4 linked regions of the Saccharomyces cerevisiae S288C genome follow. The gene in region 3 interacts genetically with the main gene of each other region. Each region holds a gene or a part of one and is shown on either strand. Other genes may lie near its edges. The genes, in order: LYS20, MCT1, PRB1 and GLR1.

What was found.
Region 1: mutations in PRB1 (region 3) and LYS20 together harm fitness more than expected from each alone (negative genetic interaction), as found in Saccharomyces cerevisiae (2 studies listed by BioGRID).
Region 2: mutations in PRB1 (region 3) and MCT1 together harm fitness more than expected from each alone (negative genetic interaction), as found in Saccharomyces cerevisiae (2 studies listed by BioGRID).
Region 4: mutations in PRB1 (region 3) and GLR1 together harm fitness more than expected from each alone (negative genetic interaction), as found in Saccharomyces cerevisiae (2 studies listed by BioGRID).

The regions. Positions count from the first base shown.
Region 1 is NC_001136.10:131,216-136,184, reverse strand, and holds LYS20 (homocitrate synthase LYS20), read right to left. Parts: upstream 2,749-4,969; coding exon 1,462-2,748; downstream 1-1,461. Other genes in the region: AIT1 (Ait1p), read right to left, coding at 1-289; INH1 (ATPase inhibitor), read right to left, coding at 749-1,006; MRX19 (Mrx19p), read left to right, coding at 4,352-4,969. UniProt on the Saccharomyces cerevisiae protein: Catalyzes the aldol-type condensation of 2-oxoglutarate with acetyl-CoA to yield homocitrate. Carries out the first step of the alpha-aminoadipate (AAA) lysine biosynthesis pathway.
Region 2 is NC_001147.6:755,411-760,154, forward strand, and holds MCT1 ([acyl-carrier-protein] S-malonyltransferase), read right to left. Parts: upstream 2,149-4,744; coding exon 1,066-2,148; downstream 1-1,065. Other genes in the region: RCN2 (Rcn2p), read left to right, coding at 1-715; ODC2 (mitochondrial 2-oxodicarboxylate carrier), read left to right, coding at 2,920-3,843; DSC3 (Dsc3p), read left to right, coding at 4,372-4,744. UniProt on the Saccharomyces cerevisiae protein: Involved in biosynthesis of fatty acids in mitochondria.
Region 3 is NC_001137.3:38,490-43,987, forward strand, and holds PRB1 (proteinase B), read right to left. Parts: upstream 3,465-5,498; coding exon 1,557-3,464; downstream 1-1,556. Other genes in the region: kinesin motor protein CIN8, read right to left, coding at 1-1,048; SOM1 (Som1p), read right to left, coding at 3,911-4,135; HHY1 (Hhy1p), read left to right, coding at 4,163-4,471; phosphoacetylglucosamine mutase PCM1, read left to right, coding at 4,763-5,498. UniProt on the Saccharomyces cerevisiae protein: Vacuolar proteinase B involved in protein degradation in the vacuole. Among other substrates, acts on carboxypeptidase Y (cpY/PRC1) to activate it by processing its Pro-peptide.
Region 4 is NC_001148.4:372,771-377,864, reverse strand, and holds GLR1 (glutathione-disulfide reductase GLR1), read right to left. Parts: upstream 2,364-5,094; coding exon 912-2,363; downstream 1-911. Other genes in the region: 40S ribosomal protein eS6 RPS6A, read left to right, coding at 1-574; SSU1 (Ssu1p), read right to left, coding at 2,696-4,072; putative GTPase NOG1, read right to left, coding at 4,944-5,094. UniProt on the Saccharomyces cerevisiae protein: Catalyzes the reduction of glutathione disulfide (GSSG) to reduced glutathione (GSH). Constitutes the major mechanism to maintain a high GSH:GSSG ratio in the cytosol.

The sequences.
Region 1 (4,969 bases), on a different chromosome or scaffold from region 3:
CCACTATCAGGTTCAATATTAAAAACCTTTGATTTATATTGAATAGAAAGGTCTTCAGGAAATAATAAAGAAATGGTGAAAAAAGCCCCAAAAGAAAGGTCCTGAAATAGTCCTGCGAATTTGGTTTGAACATCAATGGATCATCATACTGGTGTAGCAGTAATTCGGACGACGCATAGAATAGTGAAAACAGTGAAATACTAAACAGCGCAGAAAGTATCACTATGTGAGGCCTTGTGGAGCAGAAAATAGGCATAAAATATGATGCTGCATGATTTAATCGGACCATATTCAGATATATTTCACAGGTATCTTTCTTTTGTGTAAAGAATACGAGGTATGATTTAAAACGTCAAAGAATGGAAGAGAAATTTTGAATGCGAAGAGATGCTAAGTATATTCTTGGTGTTAGGCTAAGCTTGTTGAAACAAAAAAGAAGGAATTTTGAAATTTCGTATCTTAAGTATGGACTATTGACGTTATTTGGAACTTTTCCATGTTCCACACTGTTCCTATCTTTCTATGCCTTTCCGCATTGGGACGAACTTTGCGCGAAGTGGAAATAATGAGTGACATTAGTCAGACAGACAAGAGGAAAATTCAAACCAGAGGAAAACTAGAATGATAGTTATCGAAAATGCAAAAGCTCAGTGTGATGTATTATTATATAGTTTTTCTGCTGTTTGACTATAAAAGAGTAAGAATATTCTAAAAAAAAAAAAAAAAAAGCTTCTGCGGAAACGCATGATTATTTGGTCATCGAGTCAATTTTATTTTCCAAAGAATCAATCTTCTTTCGTTGTTTTTCCAGTTGTTCTTTCAAATGGCGTAGTTGCTCCTTCTCACGCTGCCTAACGAAGAAGTCTTCCGTGGCCCTTTCCCTTTTAACAAACGAATCCTCTGAGCCTGACCCTCTTGGGGTGCCGGTAGAACCTTCAGAGTAGAACCTTGCGGCCACACCGCGCTGTAATTGCAATGAGCGTGCTAATGCTGAACGTGGTAACATATTCTATTGTGGAACTGTATAAAAGTGTGCTGTAGTAATGCGTGTAAAATGCACTCCTTTGGGATAGCAAAAACAAATTCAACCACGAACAAATTCAAAGAAAGTTTTAAACAAGATACAACAAGTCAAGTTATGAACCCCTCCTTCTCTAACGATTGTTAACGCCTTTTCTAGCCCCAAAACCTCGTTGCAGTGGAAAACGATGGGTGTCAGCAACTAGACAGTTGATTGGCATAATTGTGAATATCTGGATATTTGGTACCCGCAGCAGCCTCCCCTTATTCTGCCGCGAATGCGCGCGTCTGATTGGCCCGGCATCACGGGAGAGTAAATCTTCTTCTTTTAATGCGTATCGGACAAAGTAGATGGGAAAAAACATCATTTAGATATGTAGATGTAGATGCTATATATCGTATGTAATAAGTGAAAGAACATAATGTAATGGTTTGGGAACGTTAGGCGGATGGCTTAGTCCGCTTGGCGGCGGGGATGGTGGCCAGTTCCGGTACATCGCTGTCATTCTTCTTGTTCTTTTTTGCAGATAGTACTTGAGGAGTGCTGACCTCTGCGTGGAAGTTCTTGATGATAGAGTCAACATCATCGATATTCAGCGATCTGACATCACCCAGCTTCTTAATCTTAGCAGTAACTTCCTTGATTTGGTCATCCGTCAAGTTCAAGTTCAACTGGTCGACTCTGGCTTTGATGGCGTTCCAGCCAGTTAGTCTGTTGGCGAAGTGGATATACCTCTTCATACCGAAATCGTGAGGGTCCAAGATTTCGTAGGTAGATGGGTTAGCCAAAATGGCCTTGGCATGGATACCTGCTTTATGTGTGAATGCACAGAACCCGGTGATAGGGTTGTTGAATGGAATGTTAACTTCCACAGCATCAGCGACCAGGTTTTCAATGTCTCTGATCTTGTGCAACTTGTATTTGGACTTGACATAGTCTGGTGCGGCAACAATCATTCTTGCCATGAGCCCACCTAGAGGAGTGATACCGTTTCTTTCACCAATACCCAGTACACTGACGTCAATCAATCTGGCACCACCTTCCAAAGCAGTGTAGGCGTTTGCAATGGCACAACCAGTATCGTTGTGGAAATGGCATTCGATGTCACATGAAACAACACTCTTCAAAGTTCTGATCAGTTCATATACTTGTCTTGGGTTGGCACATCCAACTGTGTCGGCAATACCGACTCTATTTACACCGATCTTGTCAACGGTTTTATAAATGTTCAAAAGATCAACGAGATCACTTCTGAAGGAATCTTCAGAGGAAAATCTGATTTCAATACCTTTGGATTTGACAAATTCAATGACTTCAACAGCACTCTTGGCGATGTAGTTCATATCCTTACCGTGGGAATATTGTCTTAAAAATTTGGAGGTGCCGATAACGACATCGACACCGTCGACACCAGTCTCTACGGCGACTTTGGCGTCATCCATATGACAACGAATGTGTGTAAGGATCTTGGCCTTTAAACCTAGTTTACATATAGCTTCACAGTCCTTTCTTGATTGTTCAGATGCTACTGGTGAGGTTAACTCGATGTAGTCCACACCGAAATCGTCCAAGGCTCTAGCAATTTCGATCTTTTTTTCAGTATCGAAGAATGCGTTGGCAAATTGTTCACCTTCTCTCAGCGTCGAATCGATTAACTGGAAATTATTTACATTAGAAAGATAGTCGCCCGGTTTGGCAGCATATGGATTTGGTTTAGCAGCAGTCATCTTTAGGAAAACAATACAGGGTCCTTCCTTTGTTTGTTATGTAGATAAGAAACAAGAATAAACTAAACGGGAACATATCAAATACACTTTATCGATAAGCAGCCAATATCATTTATATATATCATCATCGGGTATTTAAGCAGGTGTAAAAAATGGCCAGCGATGAGGCCCTTAAAACTTGGTAATAATATTACTCACGCATCATCGTCAGCAAGAACCTAAAGCGCAAATTAAATTATTGCCTATTGCTCTAATGTCGTCGTCGTCCACTACCGAAGAGAAAATTCCCCAGCAATTTTGGTCATATTTTTCAACCATGAATAAGGGATAGTGGGACAAGGCCAGGCCATTGTGACATTACTCATTTTTTTGCCACTTGCAACGCTAGTAACGCCGTATCCACAGAGAAACCGGGAGTGGCGCGAAGAGATCTTTTTTTTCTTTTACTACGTGTGATCCTCTAAAGAATTCTTTTTCTCAACCTAGCAAAGTAACCCACGCTTAAACTTCCTTGCAGAGAGTTCCCGTCGGAATTTGTTTTTTTCTTACTAAAACTACGCAATATTCCGGCGGAATTTGACGCAGACGTAACATCAGTCATCAGTTAATTTAGAATAACGATGAGCCAGCTGATCGGGTACTGTGGACGGAGTTTATAAGGAAGAGAAAATGCTGAGTGCATTAGTCATAAGAGAGGAGCGTGATCTGTAATTCCCTCTGCCTGTGCGGATCACTTCCTACAATTTATTTTGTAAAAGAGAGCACGTCTGTAGTTTCAAACAAAATCACCAACTGTGCTTTGTTCGAATACCCAGGGAACTGTTTGTTCGTCGAATCGAGATAATAGCAAACAAGAGTCTCGGTTGAGTAAACGCTCATAGACAAGAAACTAGGAACATGGCTAAAATCTTGCATCGATGTAACATTAATATAAATAGTTTGCAGCAACCGATTTACACAAAAACTGAATCTCAAGCGCACGCAGTATACCAAATTTGGTTCCTAGAGTTTTTTATATGGGCGGCTAACCTTGGAGAGATCAAAAAAGTGTACTTAACTACGAATGACATTTTAGAGGGTTTCAAGCGTATTATAATGAGATAATCTTTCAGCTGGTAGCAATTATGGTCTAATAATTTTTCGTTTATTCGGCCCTCAACCATTTGTTGAGCTTATACCGATTTAGAGCCCATAAAACGTCGTGATAATCCGCAACTTCCACGCTACCACTTTCCACCATCTATCAAAAAAAATAAGAAAATTACCATGTGTAACAGCTCCTTCCATAATTTGAAGCAGGCTGTGTTTATTCAGTTCTTCGTTTGTTTTTCTTACTTCAACGCTCCTTGTTCGATAGCTTTATTTTCTTGTTTTTCCTCCACTTTTGGATGGATGGACTTGACGGCTGTCTCCGCCGGGGAGTAAGCATCGGGCATTGTGCCAAGATAGTATCTAAAGGGTGTGCTATCTGGCACAGTTTCAGTTACTAGTTAGCCATGAAATTTTTCCTTTTCAACGTAGCAGTATCCATATCATTGCTCTTCATCGATAGAATCATTTTATCACAATACCAAAACTTCATCCGGTGTATTTTAGATTAAAGATGATACGTTCAATATTTATACCGCCAACTAGTATAACTGCCACTTCTCGACTGTTCTACGGAATGAGGGCGTATTCAACAAAACTTGAAAAGGCTTCACTCCAAAAATATCTGCATGATCCTGTTAAAGTGACTGTGATACCAATAACGGACAAAGAATCATTCATTTACTATAAGCATACCGATAATCTCTTTAATAGTCAGTCTAGAATATTAAAAGCAGAAAAGTGGATCGTTGAGAAATCAGCAAAGCTTTGGAGAAAACTGAAAAAGTCCCCTAAATCGTATAATAAAAAAATAGTGTCCATGGTGCAGTCTCTGTTAAATAGCACACCCTGGTCAGAAAATAGTCTGTTAACCATACCAAGTGAAAGCTATATATTGAAGAGAATTAAGGGAGAGAAAGATAAGACCCAAGAGATTCGACTCACATTGAAAGATTATACCGTAAAGGCAGAACAGGTCGATACTCAACCCTTACACGTGTATTATCCCCCTGGAATTTCTAGCCCTGATGAGTGCTTGAGACAAATGAAAAAGCTCTACCAAGAAGGCTTAATTTATCACAAAAAATGGACTTTATATTGCCTTTTAGGTCTCCCGCTGACAATTCCTCTA
Region 2 (4,744 bases), on a different chromosome or scaffold from region 3:
ACTGGAAAAAACTTTATTCAAGGAGCAATTTCCAAATTTACAAAGTCACTTGCAGTATTACACGCCGTTGCCATTTTTAAACAGAATTATAATCATATTTGATAATGAAGATGACACGCTGCAAGTGTTTAAGTTCTTACAGGAATTGTTAGCTAAGGAGAATAGCGGTCCGATGAAGTTATTTGTAACTGAGTCCCTTTTAAATAATCAACATCCGCGATCTCGTTCCACGGATGATGCTGTTTCGTTGCAAGATAATAACTTGGCACTTTTGGAGGATCATCGCAACAAACCGCTCTTATCTATTAATACAGATCCAGGAGTCACTGGAGTAGACAGTTCATCCCTCAATAAGGGAGGCTCTTCATTATCTCCGGATAAATCATCTCTAGAATCGCCCACAATGTTGAAGCTTTCGACGGATTCAAAGCCATTTAGTTACCAAGAACCGCTACCAAAGCTTTCTAGGTCGTCTTCTTCAACTTCGAACCTCTCATTGAACAGAAGTTCACAGACATCATTACCTTCACAACTAGAAAATAAGGATAAGTCAGCGTCAGGCACCAAATGCCTTTTCGCCTCTAAGCCACTAGGATTGACCATTGATACTTCTACTAGAAGTAATGCTGCATCGTGTACCGAAAATGATGTAAACGCTACTGCCTCAAATCCTCCAAAAAGTCCAAGCATAACGGTTAACGAGTTTTTCCATTAGAGCACTAGAGCATAACTAATACTATAAATTAGACAAAGCAGAAAAAGGGAAAAAGGTTCATGCTATGATAATGTAAAGAATATGCGTAGAGATATCTATATATCCATTTATACGTTTATATACTTGCGTGTTTACTTTGTATGGCATAATAACATGTATGTTTGCATTAGGGATTTGTTTTAGTGTATCCAAGAGCGATTAGTATAGAAGGAATGTATGTATGTGTATACGATATTTATATAAAGGGAAGTTGGCTAATTTTTTGCACACTTTCGTCCTCTTTCCATTTTCAATGAATGCGTAGAAGCACAGACTGGGAGTGGAGAGAGTTCGCAGTTTTGATCTCTTTCTCAATCTTTGTTCTCCTCTGCCGCCTTGTGATAAGCGTCTATAGTTGCTAAAGAGGTGTATTCTATAGTGTCCACTTGGGGACAATTTCTCCGAATAAGGTTATAAATCACATTGCCCGGGCCAAAGCAAATACTCTTATCAATTTCCACTGGGGTTCCAGAGTTTATGGTATCATAACACATGGTGAATTGCACAGTCCTGCTTGAACACTTAACGAATCTATCTAGGGCATGATGAATATAGTAAGATATATTACCATCTAAGTTAGCTATTATTGGATGGTTCAACTCCATCAACGTGTGAGTTCCGTTTTTCTTTAATATATCCCAAATGTAGTCATAGAGTGGTTCCTGAACGGGCCTCAACACAGTGCTATTATGGAAGGGGATGTTGTATGGGTTAGTTAATTCTGTAATTCTTAAACGCGGGAACCTTAAGTTCAATTCTGTTCTTAAGGACTCTAAATCATCAACCAGACCGGTGACTACACATTGCTTTACTGAATTTGCATTTGCTACAGAAATGGTATTTTGTGAAGATGATAATAAATTAGGGGAATTTAGTAGTTTTTGCACTTCTTGCGGTAAATCTGTGGCCCTCGGAGAAGAGAGTGCCCACATTTCAAATTTGTTGGATCTGTTGATATTGTGGGCTACTAAGTACTTTTCAGTAGATGTTACCATTAACTTATTTCTAAAATTAGCAATATCAAAAAGATCCTTTAACGAAAACAGTGAATTAACACTCAGACATGTTAACTCGCCTAGCGAGTGACCCAAAAGGTAACATTGTTCATTGTCTTTCTTGTCGGGGGAATCGATCTTAGTCATATTTTTTGGTGCTTGATCTTGAGGATCAGAAGGATTCGAGAGTATCTGGTACAATTGATAGAAAAGGTTGGAGCAGACTGCAATGCTTCCGGGGCTGGAAGGGTTCTGGAAGATGTACTGCAATAGATCATTTGATTCCTTGCCGTTCTGACTCAGTATTGTTTGGAATTCTCTTGATTTGTTTCTTATTATCGCTTTTAATATCGAAATGGAGATGGAGGTCCCTTGACCTGGGAAGGTTAGTAGCTTCATACAAACGCTTATATATGTGTACCACGATCAGAAAAGTGCAAAACGCTTTGTTACTACCCTCAGTGTACGTTATTGAATAGTTCTAATATGCAGCAAGTTACTGGTAAGCTTTGTTTTACCCTTGAGTTCGATACTCAGTTTACTTCCTCCATCGGAGGTTGAAATGCGCCTTGTCATACGGCCAAAAAATGCCATGTAAGAAGATGACACTTTCTGCATTTTGAGTATATTTAAGGGCCTATAATTTTCTTCCAACTTTCTCAAGACAAGCATATTGTGTACTTTCGGTTTAGCAAGCCTTTTTACTTCGTTAACACAAGGCGATGCTAACGTGTGTTTACTGTTTTAGAAGATCGGCATTTATCAAATGTAAGGACAATGAGACATGGTTGACCAATTAGTTCTTCTCAGATAGGAGTTCTAGTTCTTCTGCATACTACTTAGTCCTCTTCTGTCGTTGACATTCAATTGCTTGTGCATTTCTAACATGAAATAGTGGTACTACGAATGCTATTATTCTATGCCAGGCAAATTCCTCTGGAACTTTTTTTTTTTCAGTTTTTTCGTGGTGAGCTTTTTTTGCCTGTCTATCTCGAAAGATCTTGTTGTTGATGACTCAGTGCAGTCGCGATCACTTTCGACTCGACATGCATTTGCAAGTAATTCTGTTATAAAACGTTCTCTTCGTTTTTTCAGTCTGAAGCTCTTCTGCACTTTTTTACTGGGTTAGATTCTATATAGTCAAGTAATTCGAGGTAGCATCAAAGTAATATGTCATCAGACTCAAACGCAAAGCCATTGCCTTTTATATATCAGTTCATATCAGGTGCCGTCGCCGGTATTTCTGAGTTAACTGTTATGTATCCGCTTGATGTTGTTAAGACAAGATTTCAACTGGAGGTGACGACGCCTACTGCCGCTGCAGTAGGAAAGCAAGTAGAGAGATATAATGGTGTCATCGATTGTTTGAAAAAAATTGTAAAGAAGGAAGGGTTTAGCAGACTTTACAGAGGTATTAGTTCACCAATGTTGATGGAAGCACCAAAGAGAGCCACCAAATTTGCATGTAACGATCAATATCAAAAAATCTTCAAAAACCTATTCAACACGAATGAAACTACGCAGAAGATCTCCATTGCGGCTGGTGCATCTGCTGGTATGACAGAAGCTGCAGTTATTGTTCCATTTGAATTGATCAAAATCAGGATGCAAGACGTCAAGTCCAGCTATCTTGGACCAATGGACTGTTTGAAAAAAACAATCAAAAACGAAGGTATTATGGGGCTATACAAGGGTATCGAATCTACCATGTGGAGAAACGCTCTTTGGAATGGTGGCTACTTCGGTGTTATCTACCAAGTGAGAAATTCCATGCCCGTAGCAAAGACAAAGGGACAAAAGACCAGAAATGACCTTATTGCAGGTGCGATCGGTGGTACGGTCGGGACCATGCTTAACACTCCCTTTGACGTGGTGAAATCCAGAATCCAAAGTGTGGACGCGGTCAGCAGTGCTGTTAAAAAATACAACTGGTGCCTACCTTCGCTATTGGTCATATACCGTGAAGAAGGCTTCAGAGCATTGTACAAAGGTTTCGTCCCCAAAGTATGTAGACTAGCACCCGGTGGTTCATTAATGTTGGTGGTTTTTACCGGTATGATGAACTTTTTCAGGGATCTGAAGTACGGACACTGATATTTATTGTATATAGAATACCTCTTTCCTCTTCAATCTTAACTACGTTATTTCTACGTCAAAATAAGAATAGCATGTCTGTCCTACCAGCCCTTGCATAGGCGTCTTAAAATGTTGAGAAGCCTAAACTTCCCTCAATTTCCTACACAAAAGGGCATTAAGATGAACAAAATGATGATCTCTCCGATGGACTTGACGCTTATACCAAAAGAGACTCGATATAAACAACACGGTTTTATAGTCCTGGATTATTAATCCGCACGATTAATTTTGTATGGTTTTTTTTTAAAATTTGAAATAAAAAGAGTAAATATACAAGAAGTAAAACCGAGGTAGTACTCTTTAGAAATTCTTCATCTCTTTTTATAGTTGCACTGGGAGGAAAAAAAAATATATATATACTATCTCCATTACCCGGAGTTGAATATAAAGAACGGCGTATTAGGGTCCCTTGAGTTATTAAAGAAGACGCTTGTGATATAAACCAAGCAAAGAGAGAGGTGAAAGGCAGCATACATTGATAAAATTATGTCCGCAGAACCATTATTACCCACACATAACGGATCGCAGGGAGGGGAAGTGAGGTCCCCAGATCAGAAGTTCATTGTGATACGGTTTTCCGACGTATCAGTAAGGGATCTGCAGTTGAACATATCAAATGTACCATTTTCGAATATAAATACCCACTGGCTACGTCGGATGTGTAGAGAATTGAGGCCCCAACAAACACAAAAAAGAAGACTGAAGTTTATAAGGAACGGGAGTATTCTGAATACGCATTCCAAGATTGCTGAGGAACTGACGCATTACTTCGATACTGCTAATAACTCTAACGTCGCAACAGGCACCAGCGTGGCACCAGAGCAGAACAACTACTATATTCATTGTATAATTGGTACAG
Region 3 (5,498 bases):
TTTTAGTGGACGCTACTTGCCTATGCTTTAAGCCTTTTTGTAATAGGTTTAGCCCCTCCATAGCATTTGTTATGTGAAATTCTTGCAAATTCTGGATGTATATACCATTAGTTTGGTCATTTGGAGCCATCGAACTTCTTTGACCGTTATTTGTGTTGGTGTTACTAGAAGCATTATTAGTGGTAGAGCCAGAGTTAGAGGAAGAGTTGTTCCTGGAATTCACTGCCTGTTGTTGTTGATACTGTTGCTTGATGGTATTCGGCAGTGATTTTGTCCTTAACCTTTTTCTTAATAGAGCAGCTTTAGGTGTTAGATCATTTAATGACCTCGGAGAACTGTTCCTAGAATTACTCCTGGAACTACTAGCACTGTTGCTAGTGGTATTATTTGCTGTGCTTGAATCAAAAATCCTCAATTTTTTCATAAATTGGCCGTCAAAGCCAGTATTACTAGAGCCGTTGCTATTGCTGTCCAAGAGGTCCTTCAATTCTTCGTTGTAGAGTTCAATGAACGAACATTTTACTACGTAATCGTTCTGTTGTAGTTCCAATGTGTCAAACAACTTCAAAAGAACCCTCGGTATAATTCCTGCTGCATCGCTCAATTCACCATTATATAACTTTTCGTCGCCCGTCATTGTATATGTTTTACCTGTTGACGTCATACCATATACCAGTACGGTGCAATTGTAACCTTTAATGAAATCCTGGAATAATGGGCCCGCCACTTCATCAAAAATTAGATCCTGGGAAGCGCCGGGACCGAAGACTTTGTCCACTGTGTATCTCTTGGCATTCATTTGAGCAGTTATACCGGTATCTCCCGTCGTGTTAATGGAAATTTCTTTAGAACCTGTAATATCTGGAACATTTACCACAACGGAGCTTTTCATACTAATTTCCCTTTCATTCCTTCCTCTGCATCGCACAGCTACAGTGATGTTCAGTTCCTCATTAGGAACAGTGTGACATCCAACCTGAGAGTTGCCATTTTTACTGATGCTGTTGGAGCTTCTATCTTGACCCGTATTTTGGTTTTCCGCTGGCATCAAACAAATTCTTTCTTGTTGTATTTTTTGCGCTTTTATATACTTTTTATTACTTTTTCCTTTGAATTGCTTGCTTCTGTATCTATACTCAACGTTACTTTCTGGCCATACCATAAGTTCTACACCCGCTGTTGAGAAGCGGGTCACAAAGGAAGTCTTTAGATGATGTTATTGTTGCGGCCTTGTTTGTTTGTTTTGTTTATTTCGCGTACCTAATACATCGTCACCACACACGAAAACGAAAACATTTGATCAGATAAGTGATCTGCAAATAAGATATAATAAAAGTAACAGTTATTTATTTAATTAAAAACGCAAATATGTAGTAATACGTGGGACATATAAATTTCATGAATTAAAAAAAAAAAATGAAATTCAGATTGAAAATAATGGGGATATAAAAAAAGTGGACAAACGATAGTGAAGAGGGACTCCGACTTGTAACCTCGAGACGCCTAAGGAAAGAAAAAGAAAAAAAAAAGCAGCTGAAATTTTTCTAAATGAAGAATTAAATAATATTCAATTTATCAAGAATATCTCTCACTTGATCAAAGATTAAATCGGTCTTTGATCCAATGAATTCATCCATGTTCAATTCTTGCTTGAAACCAGATGAATGGGACTTTTTGGTATCATTCCAGAAAGCGGACAAATCTTGACCACCACCGTTGTAGATTAAAACATTTGGAGTGTCTTCAGGGATATCGAACAAAATGTCCTTTGTACTGTAATGAATTAGCTTCTTTTTCAATTGCTGAGGAGTCAAAGAATCCTGGCCCAATTCGAAAAATTCACTATCAGAACCTGGTTGCAAAGACAAAAAGTAGGTCAACAAACCAGCAACGTGAGGGGAAGCCATTGAGGTACCCGATAAAGTGGCGGTGGCGTCATCACTTCCAATGTAGGTGGACAAAATGTTTAAACCTGGGGCGAAAACGTCGACACACTTACCCCAGTTGGAAAAGTAGGCTCTGTCATCGCTCAACGTGGAAGCTCCGACGGTGATGGCCTTGTCAGCAGAAGCTGGGGAGGTATTACAAGCGTCTTGGTTTTCGTTACCAGCAGCCACGGCAAAGTGAATACCGACTTCAACGGCTGCATTAACAGCCAAGTCCAAAGCTGGGGACTTGCCACCACCAAGCGACATATTGGCTGTGGAACCTTTGAACCCCTTTTTCTTTTCTTGGGCTTCTTTTTGGTGCGCCTTTGCGGCATATTCGACACCTTTGACGACATCAGACATGGTACCAGACCCGTTTGATCTCAAGACTTTCACCGCAACAACGTTGGCATTTTTAGCGACACCGTAGTGTTTGGAAGCGATAGTACCGGCACAGTGGGTACCGTGGCCGTTACCGTCGAGATCTTCGTCGTTAAGTGGGATGGTTTTCCCCCAAATGGCTCTCTTTTCGAAGTCCTTGTGGTTGATGTTGACACCCGTGTCAATAACATAGGACGTGACACCGCGACCGGCATCATCATCGTAGAGATACTTGTTGAAGGACCCCAGGTTGAGGCGCTCTCTGTGGGAAATACGGGCCAACCCCCATGGGGCGCTATTTTGAGTGTCAAATTCTGTAGCCTCGACAATAGAGTCTCTCTCAACAAAGTCTACTAATGGGTTTTGACGTATCAAGTCGACAATCTCTTGGGTGAAGTAACCGATGTAACCGGAGAAAAGATTATCGATGTTGAATGAGTCCTGGATACCGCCAGCCTCAGAGGTGGACAAGGAGGTGTCTTTAGTAGAAATGAAGAAAGCGTCTTCGGCAGATAAGTTCTCTACGGATTGAAGTTGTGCCTGCTGGACGTTTTCCTTGTGGAAATCGATCTCTTCTTGAGGGGCACCTCTCTTGAAGACTATAATGTAGCGGTTGGGGATGATCTTGGAGATCGCGTCTGGGTTGAATTGTGCAGTGGACACGAGAGGAGCCAGCCTGTTGTGGTGCCTCCCTTTCTCCAACGTCTTTTCGTGGTGCTTCTTGCCCTTGACTTTCTTACCTTTCATCTTCTTCTCCTCCACCTTATTTTCGTGGCAGCCACCCTTATGGTGAGGCTTCTTCTTCTTATCATCATTATCATCATCATTGGAACTTTCATGCTTAGGCTTCATGCCCTTTCCTCCCTCGTGGGCGCTCCCATGAGAGCCACTTGCACGTTTACCGTTGAATTCCGGAGACTCCTTGTCTTGGCCCTTGCGGCCCTTCTTATGGAACTTTCCATGTTCTTTATCTTCAGAGTCAGATGGCTCCTCATCATCGTCCTTAGTGAATTCCACTTTTCTGGGTCTCTCGTGGTGATCTTCCTTGTTAATCAGTTCGTGGTGGTCGGCGGCATTTTCAAGATTTGGGATGACCAAAGCAGCAGAGATGCTCCCTAGGGCACCGAGTGTAAATAGAGTATTTTCTAACTTCATCTTTGCTTGTTAGAATTAGGTTTAGTTTGTTTTTTTATTGGCGATGAAGCTAATTGGACTCTTAAGTTTGTATGGGAAGAACTCCAATATAACGGGACGTAACATTGGCCCCCTTTTATATTCATCGCGCTCTTTATCGCGGGTGTGTTTGCCCCCGCCACTCCCGCAGTCCTGGCGTGATAAGCCACTGCAGTGGCATTACTGAGCCCAAATTTTGCTTTTTCAACAAGTCACCTAAATTTCCAAAGCCGAAAGCCCTGCTACTCTGCTAACCCGGAGCGTTTAAAGTCCACGGACATTTCCCAGCCCTCGTTTTTTCTCCTCCCGGGACCCCGGGCATAAGTGCATAGTAGGCACAGACCTGATCTGTCGGGTGCAGTTTAAAAAAGTCTTGGCAAAATTTTTTATTTATCACACTACTGTGCTATATAGAGTATATGTAATTTTTAACTATTGGTATATGTGTCCGTGACCTCGTAGTTAGTGGCTGATTTGTCGGGTGCAATGCAGTGTTCAAAAAGCCTCTTAAAAGGCGAGCAGACGTATTCGGCTCCTTTGAATTGGCACTCCCATTGCACAAGCTCTTTCAGCCGGCAGTTGGTTTGTGAGTCAAGCGTTGCTAACGGTGCGAGCGCTTGGTCCCTAGTGCGGATGGTGGTTGGAGGCGCCATGAGGGTTGATTGTCTTATCTGCGATAGATGAGTCTTTCTTTCCTTCTCTTTTCCCCTTTTCTCCCCCCCTGTTTCTCGTCCATCTCTATCTGTCTATCTGTCTTATCTACTGTTAGTTTTTTTTTCGCTTTCACGATACCGCATTACGTACTGCGCTGCGGAAGTGTGGATGAGTGGCATATACACTCTTCTGCAGAGGATTTTCGTACACAACGGTGTGTGTGTGCTGTGAAGCTGTCTGCTTCCTTACTTGGCTGTTTGCTTGCTTGTGCGTCATGGTCACTTTTGTTAGAAGTGAGCCGCATAAAATGGCATGTCGGCACAGCCTACAGTTAAAAATTAAGCATATCTGACTGTTTATCTGTTTATCTGTTTATACACGGTGAACTGTCACGAGAACCCTTACTTGCACGATTAGCAGATTGTTCAGAGAGCCTCGCTCGTTGAAGTTCTTCTATATGCCAGCGTGTTTCATGTAGCAGGAAACGTTGCTCTATTTATATCTTTTCTGACATTTTGCGTCGTCGGGAAAAAAAAGATTAAGTAAGAACAAAAAACCGTTAATGGTTTCAGCAATCGAGACAAGTACAAGGACCAAGGCAAAGGTCAGCAGTAAGCTTAGAGACGATGAAGGTTGATTACGAGCAATTGTGCAAACTCTACGATGACACGTGCCGCACAAAGAATGTGCAGTTCAGTTACGGTACGGCCGGATTCAGAACGCTGGCCAAGAATTTGGATACGGTGATGTTCAGTACTGGTATACTGGCGGTTCTCAGGTCGCTGAAGCTTCAGGGTCAGTATGTGGGGGTGATGATCACGGCGTCGCACAACCCATACCAGGACAACGGGGTCAAGATCGTGGAACCAGACGGATCGATGCTTTTGGCCACATGGGAGCCATATGCCATGCAGTTGGCCAATGCGGCCTCTTTTGCCACTAATTTTGAAGAATTTCGTGTTGAGTTGGCCAAGCTGATTGAACACGAAAAGATTGATTTGAATACAACCGTCGTGCCTCACATCGTGGTTGGGAGAGACTCTAGGGAAAGTAGTCCATACTTGCTGCGCTGCTTGACTTCCTCCATGGCCAGCGTCTTCCACGCGCAAGTTTTGGACCTAGGCTGTGTCACTACGCCTCAATTGCATTACATTACTGATTTGTCCAACAGGCGGAAACTGGAAGGAGACACAGCGCCAGTTGCCACAGAACAGGACTACTATTCGTTCTTTATAGGAGCCTTCAACGAGCTCTTCGCCACGTATCAGCTGGAGAAGAGGCTGTCTGTCCCAAAATTGTTCATAGACACAGCCAATGGTATCGGTGGTCCACAGTTGAAAAAACTACTGGCCTCCGAAGATT
Region 4 (5,094 bases), on a different chromosome or scaffold from region 3:
GGGTTACGTCTTCAAGATCTCTGGTGGTAACGACAAACAAGGTTTCCCAATGAAGCAAGGTGTTTTGTTGCCAACTAGAATCAAGTTGTTGTTGACCAAGAACGTTTCTTGTTACAGACCAAGACGTGATGGTGAAAGAAAGAGAAAGTCCGTCAGAGGTGCCATTGTTGGTCCAGATTTGGCTGTCTTGGCTTTGGTCATTGTCAAGAAGGGTGAGCAAGAATTGGAAGGTCTAACTGACACTACTGTTCCAAAGAGATTGGGTCCAAAGAGAGCTAACAACATCAGAAAGTTCTTCGGTTTGTCCAAGGAAGATGACGTTCGTGATTTCGTCATCAGAAGAGAAGTCACCAAGGGTGAAAAGACTTACACCAAGGCTCCAAAGATCCAAAGATTGGTTACTCCTCAAAGATTGCAAAGAAAGAGACACCAAAGAGCTTTGAAGGTCAGAAACGCTCAAGCTCAAAGAGAAGCTGCTGCCGAATACGCTCAATTGTTGGCTAAGAGATTGTCTGAAAGAAAGGCTGAGAAGGCTGAAATCAGAAAGAGAAGAGCTTCTTCTTTGAAGGCTTAAAGTTAGAAAGCAGTAAAAGATAAATTCTTTTGTTCAAAAACTCCTTTCTTATTCTGTATTTTGTGTATTTTTAAGCTTAAAATCAAATAACTTTATTTTTTATATAATTAACAAAAAGAAAAATAATCATATGTATTGTAAACGAGAGTCGGAATGTATCCTCAACTGAATATCCAAGCGAGTCCACAGTAGCTAATAGTCTGAAAAAAAAAGGAACCCTTGTCCTTGAACAGAAATGACAAAATTACTACGTATTTCAGGATGCTATATAAGATTGTTTACAAGAGTACAAAAGTCCAGTATAGCAACAGCAGATTGGACGTCTAGTTTCGTTGCTTCATCTCATAGTAACCAATTCTTCTGCGCTAGTCGGATGAATAGCAACACAATTATCGAAATCAGCCTTAGTGGCACCCATCTTTATAGCAACACCGAACCCTTGCAAGATTTCTGCAGAGGAATCACCAACAATGTGCAGACCGACAACCTTTTCATTTGGTCCCGCACAAACAATTTTATATCTTGTGGGTGATTTCTCACTCAACATAGCATAGTACATGGCGGTAAATTTGGAATTGTAGACCTTTATATTCTCCTTACCGTACTTTTCAATGGCTTCCTTCTCAGAAATACCAATGGAACCGGCTTCAGGATGTGAGAAAATTACGCTGGGGACGTTCTCGTAATCTAGTTTGTCATTACGGAATTTCTCTGGACCAAACAGTCTATTAGACAGCTTTCTGCCCGCTGCAATAGCGACAGGTGTCAATTCAACTTTTCCAACAACGTCACCTAGAGAATAAATGTTTGGAACATTGGTGTTCTGATATTCATCAGCAATTATTTGGTCATGAGAGTTCAGCTTTATACCTACATTTTCTGAACCCATACCTAGATGGGATTTACGTCCAATTGTCCAAATTAATTCGTCAACGTCATCGATGGACTTTGAGTCATTCATATGTATTTTCAGTTTGTCAGTTTCTACATTTTTCTCCACCTTAACAATTTTGGATAGTTTATGAACGTTGATGCCTTCCTTTACGTAATGGTCAGTAATAGTGTTCTGGATGCATTCATCAAATTTTCTCAAGACAGTTTCACCTCTAATTACCAAGTGCGTTTCGGATCCCAGCCCATGGAACACACCTGCTAGCTCAATACCAATATAACCAGCGCCAACAACAACAACTTTCTTAGGTTGTTCTTCCAATCTAAAGAACCCATCAGAATCAGTACCTAATTCGAAACCTGGAATGTTTTCGGGGAAAATAGCCTTTCCACCGGTCGCAACTAAAATATGGTTAGCGGAGTAAACTTCAGTAGTATTATCCCTTTTCTGAACTTCAACATTACCGTCCTTATTGAATCTAGCCCATCCAAATACAACATCCACTTTTTCTTTTTCTAAATTCTTCTGGTATATACCGTTCAACCTATGGACATAAGCATCCCTTTTCTGCTTAAATTCTGGCCAATTAAAAGTCAAATGCTCTTTATCTAATGGAAGATTCTGATATAATCCATATTCATTTGCATGGGATACTCTAGTAGCGAGGTCAGAAGCATACCACATGACTTTCTTCGGAACACAACCCACGTTAACACAGGTACCACCAAGAGCCTTAGCTTCAACTAGTAATGTCTTCGCACCATAAGATGCAGCTCTTCTTGCGGAAGCAACACCCCCTGAGCCACCCCCGATGACGAGGTAATCGTAATGCTTGGTGTTCGTGGACATAGTTCTTATCTGTAGACTTCTAAATGTTTGTTTGGTTGCAGAAAGCATAAAGTTCTGTAAACTAATATGTAAATAGATATATATACATATGAAGGAAAGCAGCAAAATATACTGAGAGTGAGAAGCGCATGAGAAAAACCAGAAGTGTTTCTTATACTTTTTTAGACTGATTTTAATAGTAGATTCCAAATGGAAAGCTCCGAAATCCTCGAAAAATTGACAAGGGTCGTGCTTACTAAGTGACGTCAAAAAATATCAGGCATAGTGAAAACCAACGTGAAGAAGCAAAAGCAGCAAAGCGCCGTGCAAATGAATTAAACTATCTATTGAGACTCCTACATGAAATGCTTGCCAATTATGTACGTATAAAACCAACAATTTTATGCTAAACGCGTAAAATCTAGAGCCGAGTTTGATTCTTCCACGCTTTCAATGCTGTTATACGGAGAAACTGTCGTCTTTTCCGTACCTGACTCTGAAAATAATGAAGATTTACGGGCAGCATGCAGCATCTTTTTAGAATACTCATGCAATGTGCATAAAAGGCATAGAATTGACCAACAAACGCAAACACCGCCGTATATGGTTCCTAGGACTCTAAATGCATATAAGGGAACGTACTGGTTATACTGCACATATAACTCTTCGTTTCCTAAAGACATAGTACCCATCGGGAAAGTCATCCCCCAAAAACCTTTGTGGAAGGTATAAACTCTCTTCACTTTTCCTGTCTCGTTTTCAATCTCTTTTTTATTGTAGTACGACAGGATTGAAACGACAGAAATCACGGTGAAAAAATAGCCCATAGCGAGCAATGCCATAGCAGAAACCATGCCTAGAATTTTGAAACACCATGGAACTGCAATAGTCAATATCTCTTGTTCTCTTGTAATGTTATCTGTTGGGTAATATTTGCCCGCATATTTTTTTATATTATCTGTAAGCAATAAGACTCCAAAACTTCCTTGGCCCATCGGGCCCAAAAGCAGGAATAAGGTGAAAACCTGTGTCATTGGTGGTATCTTATTAATATAAAGACTCCAGAAGTATATCGCAATCAGTATGAAGACGAAGATAATGGCATGCAGCCACGTTAAGGCACATATGACCAACGTTATCAGTTGAATGTTTCTATTAAACGCATGGAAGAATATTTCTGACATTGTGAATGTTCCACAACTTGAAGCGACGACAACCAGCGGAATGATATCCAGTAGCAATACACTTTTCATGTTTTCGGATGCCATTTTGATATTATATGAAGGATAATTCCCAATCCCTTCCAAAGGGTAATAGTCATGCCAGATGAGAAACGAGATACCCCACGCTATTACTAGACAGACTGCGAGATCATACCACCACAAGACGTAAACAAATATCATCAAATTTCTGGCATTAGTGGGGCTCTTCGTCGTGTTCGCTTTCGAGAGTGCTCCTAAGAAATTTATAATTGTAACTAACCCCATGGGATAAGTACCCCAAAATAAATTGTGCTTCATATTTCTGAAAAAGTCATTAAAATATTCTCTGAAGCTTTTCTCCTTAATATAGACAATCAAATGTAATATTTGTAGTGCCTGCACAGCAATGAAAATAAGGCAAGCGATAGCAAACATGATGTAGGAGCATATTCTTAGCCACCTTGCAGGATATGGGAAGCTATATAGAATATTCGATGAAATGCCGACACCCATGACCATCATAAACATGAAGGGGTCAAACTGCCTCGTAAGAGCAAGTACCCAATTGGCAACCATTTTTTTCTTGTACTTGTCTTCTCTTACACTATAAAACGTTTTTAAATTGCGCGTATTGTCTGAGCTCAATCAACAATCGTTACTAGGGGAAAGCTGTAATTTGTGTGTTGTCTAAATGCGGAGAATTTGTTCAGCCAATATCACAAGTTTCAACTTAACAAGACAAGGATTAGAAATAAGAACTACACGCTGGTTGGCTATTCTTTTAGAACCTCTAGTTAAATAGGTAAAATAAGCAAAGTGAGCAAAAATAAGCAAAAGAAGTCAAAGACAACCCCAATGTGCCAAAGACGGCGATGAGTCTTCTGTTTTTTAAGATTCATGCACTCTCAGATTTTCGGCTACAGACGCGGCACAAGGATGAAAAAAAAAAAATGATAGTTTGCAGGAATTTATCAGTCAATTGATGGGAGACATCGCTATTGTTGCCTTATACGATACACTGCAAAAACGATAACAATTTCTTATTTGTCAACCTCGTGGGAGACTCGATAGGTTGCATGATGATGTGTCACAAAAAAGTAGAAGTGTCATCTTGACGCTATCCCACCCCTTCTTTTTCCACATGCTTAATTATTTGTATACATCCAGTGACATACAAAAAAATAGTAGAACATGGAGGGGTCGGCTTGTTGGATAATTTAAATCGGTTTATTATTATTATACAGATTAAATAAAATTTTTTTAAAAAAAAGATACAGAAAAAGTGAGAAAGAAAGAAAAAGAAACCACTAATAGTGAGAGAGATAATCAAATGTAAATGGTAATCCTACCAGCCCAAAAAGATTAGAATGTCGTGTACGTACATCCACATTTTATATTCATATTTTTTTTAAAGTACATGCAAAAGAAAGAATAAGAAGTAGAGAAATCAACGGAAATCTGTCTTACCGACACCACGCTTACCACTGAATAAATGCTTTGATAAGGAAACAGCATTGTGTCTATCAGATTCACCTTGCTTGGCATGTCTATTTCTTTCTCTTCTTTCCATCTTGGCCATCCTGTCGGCCTTGGATCTC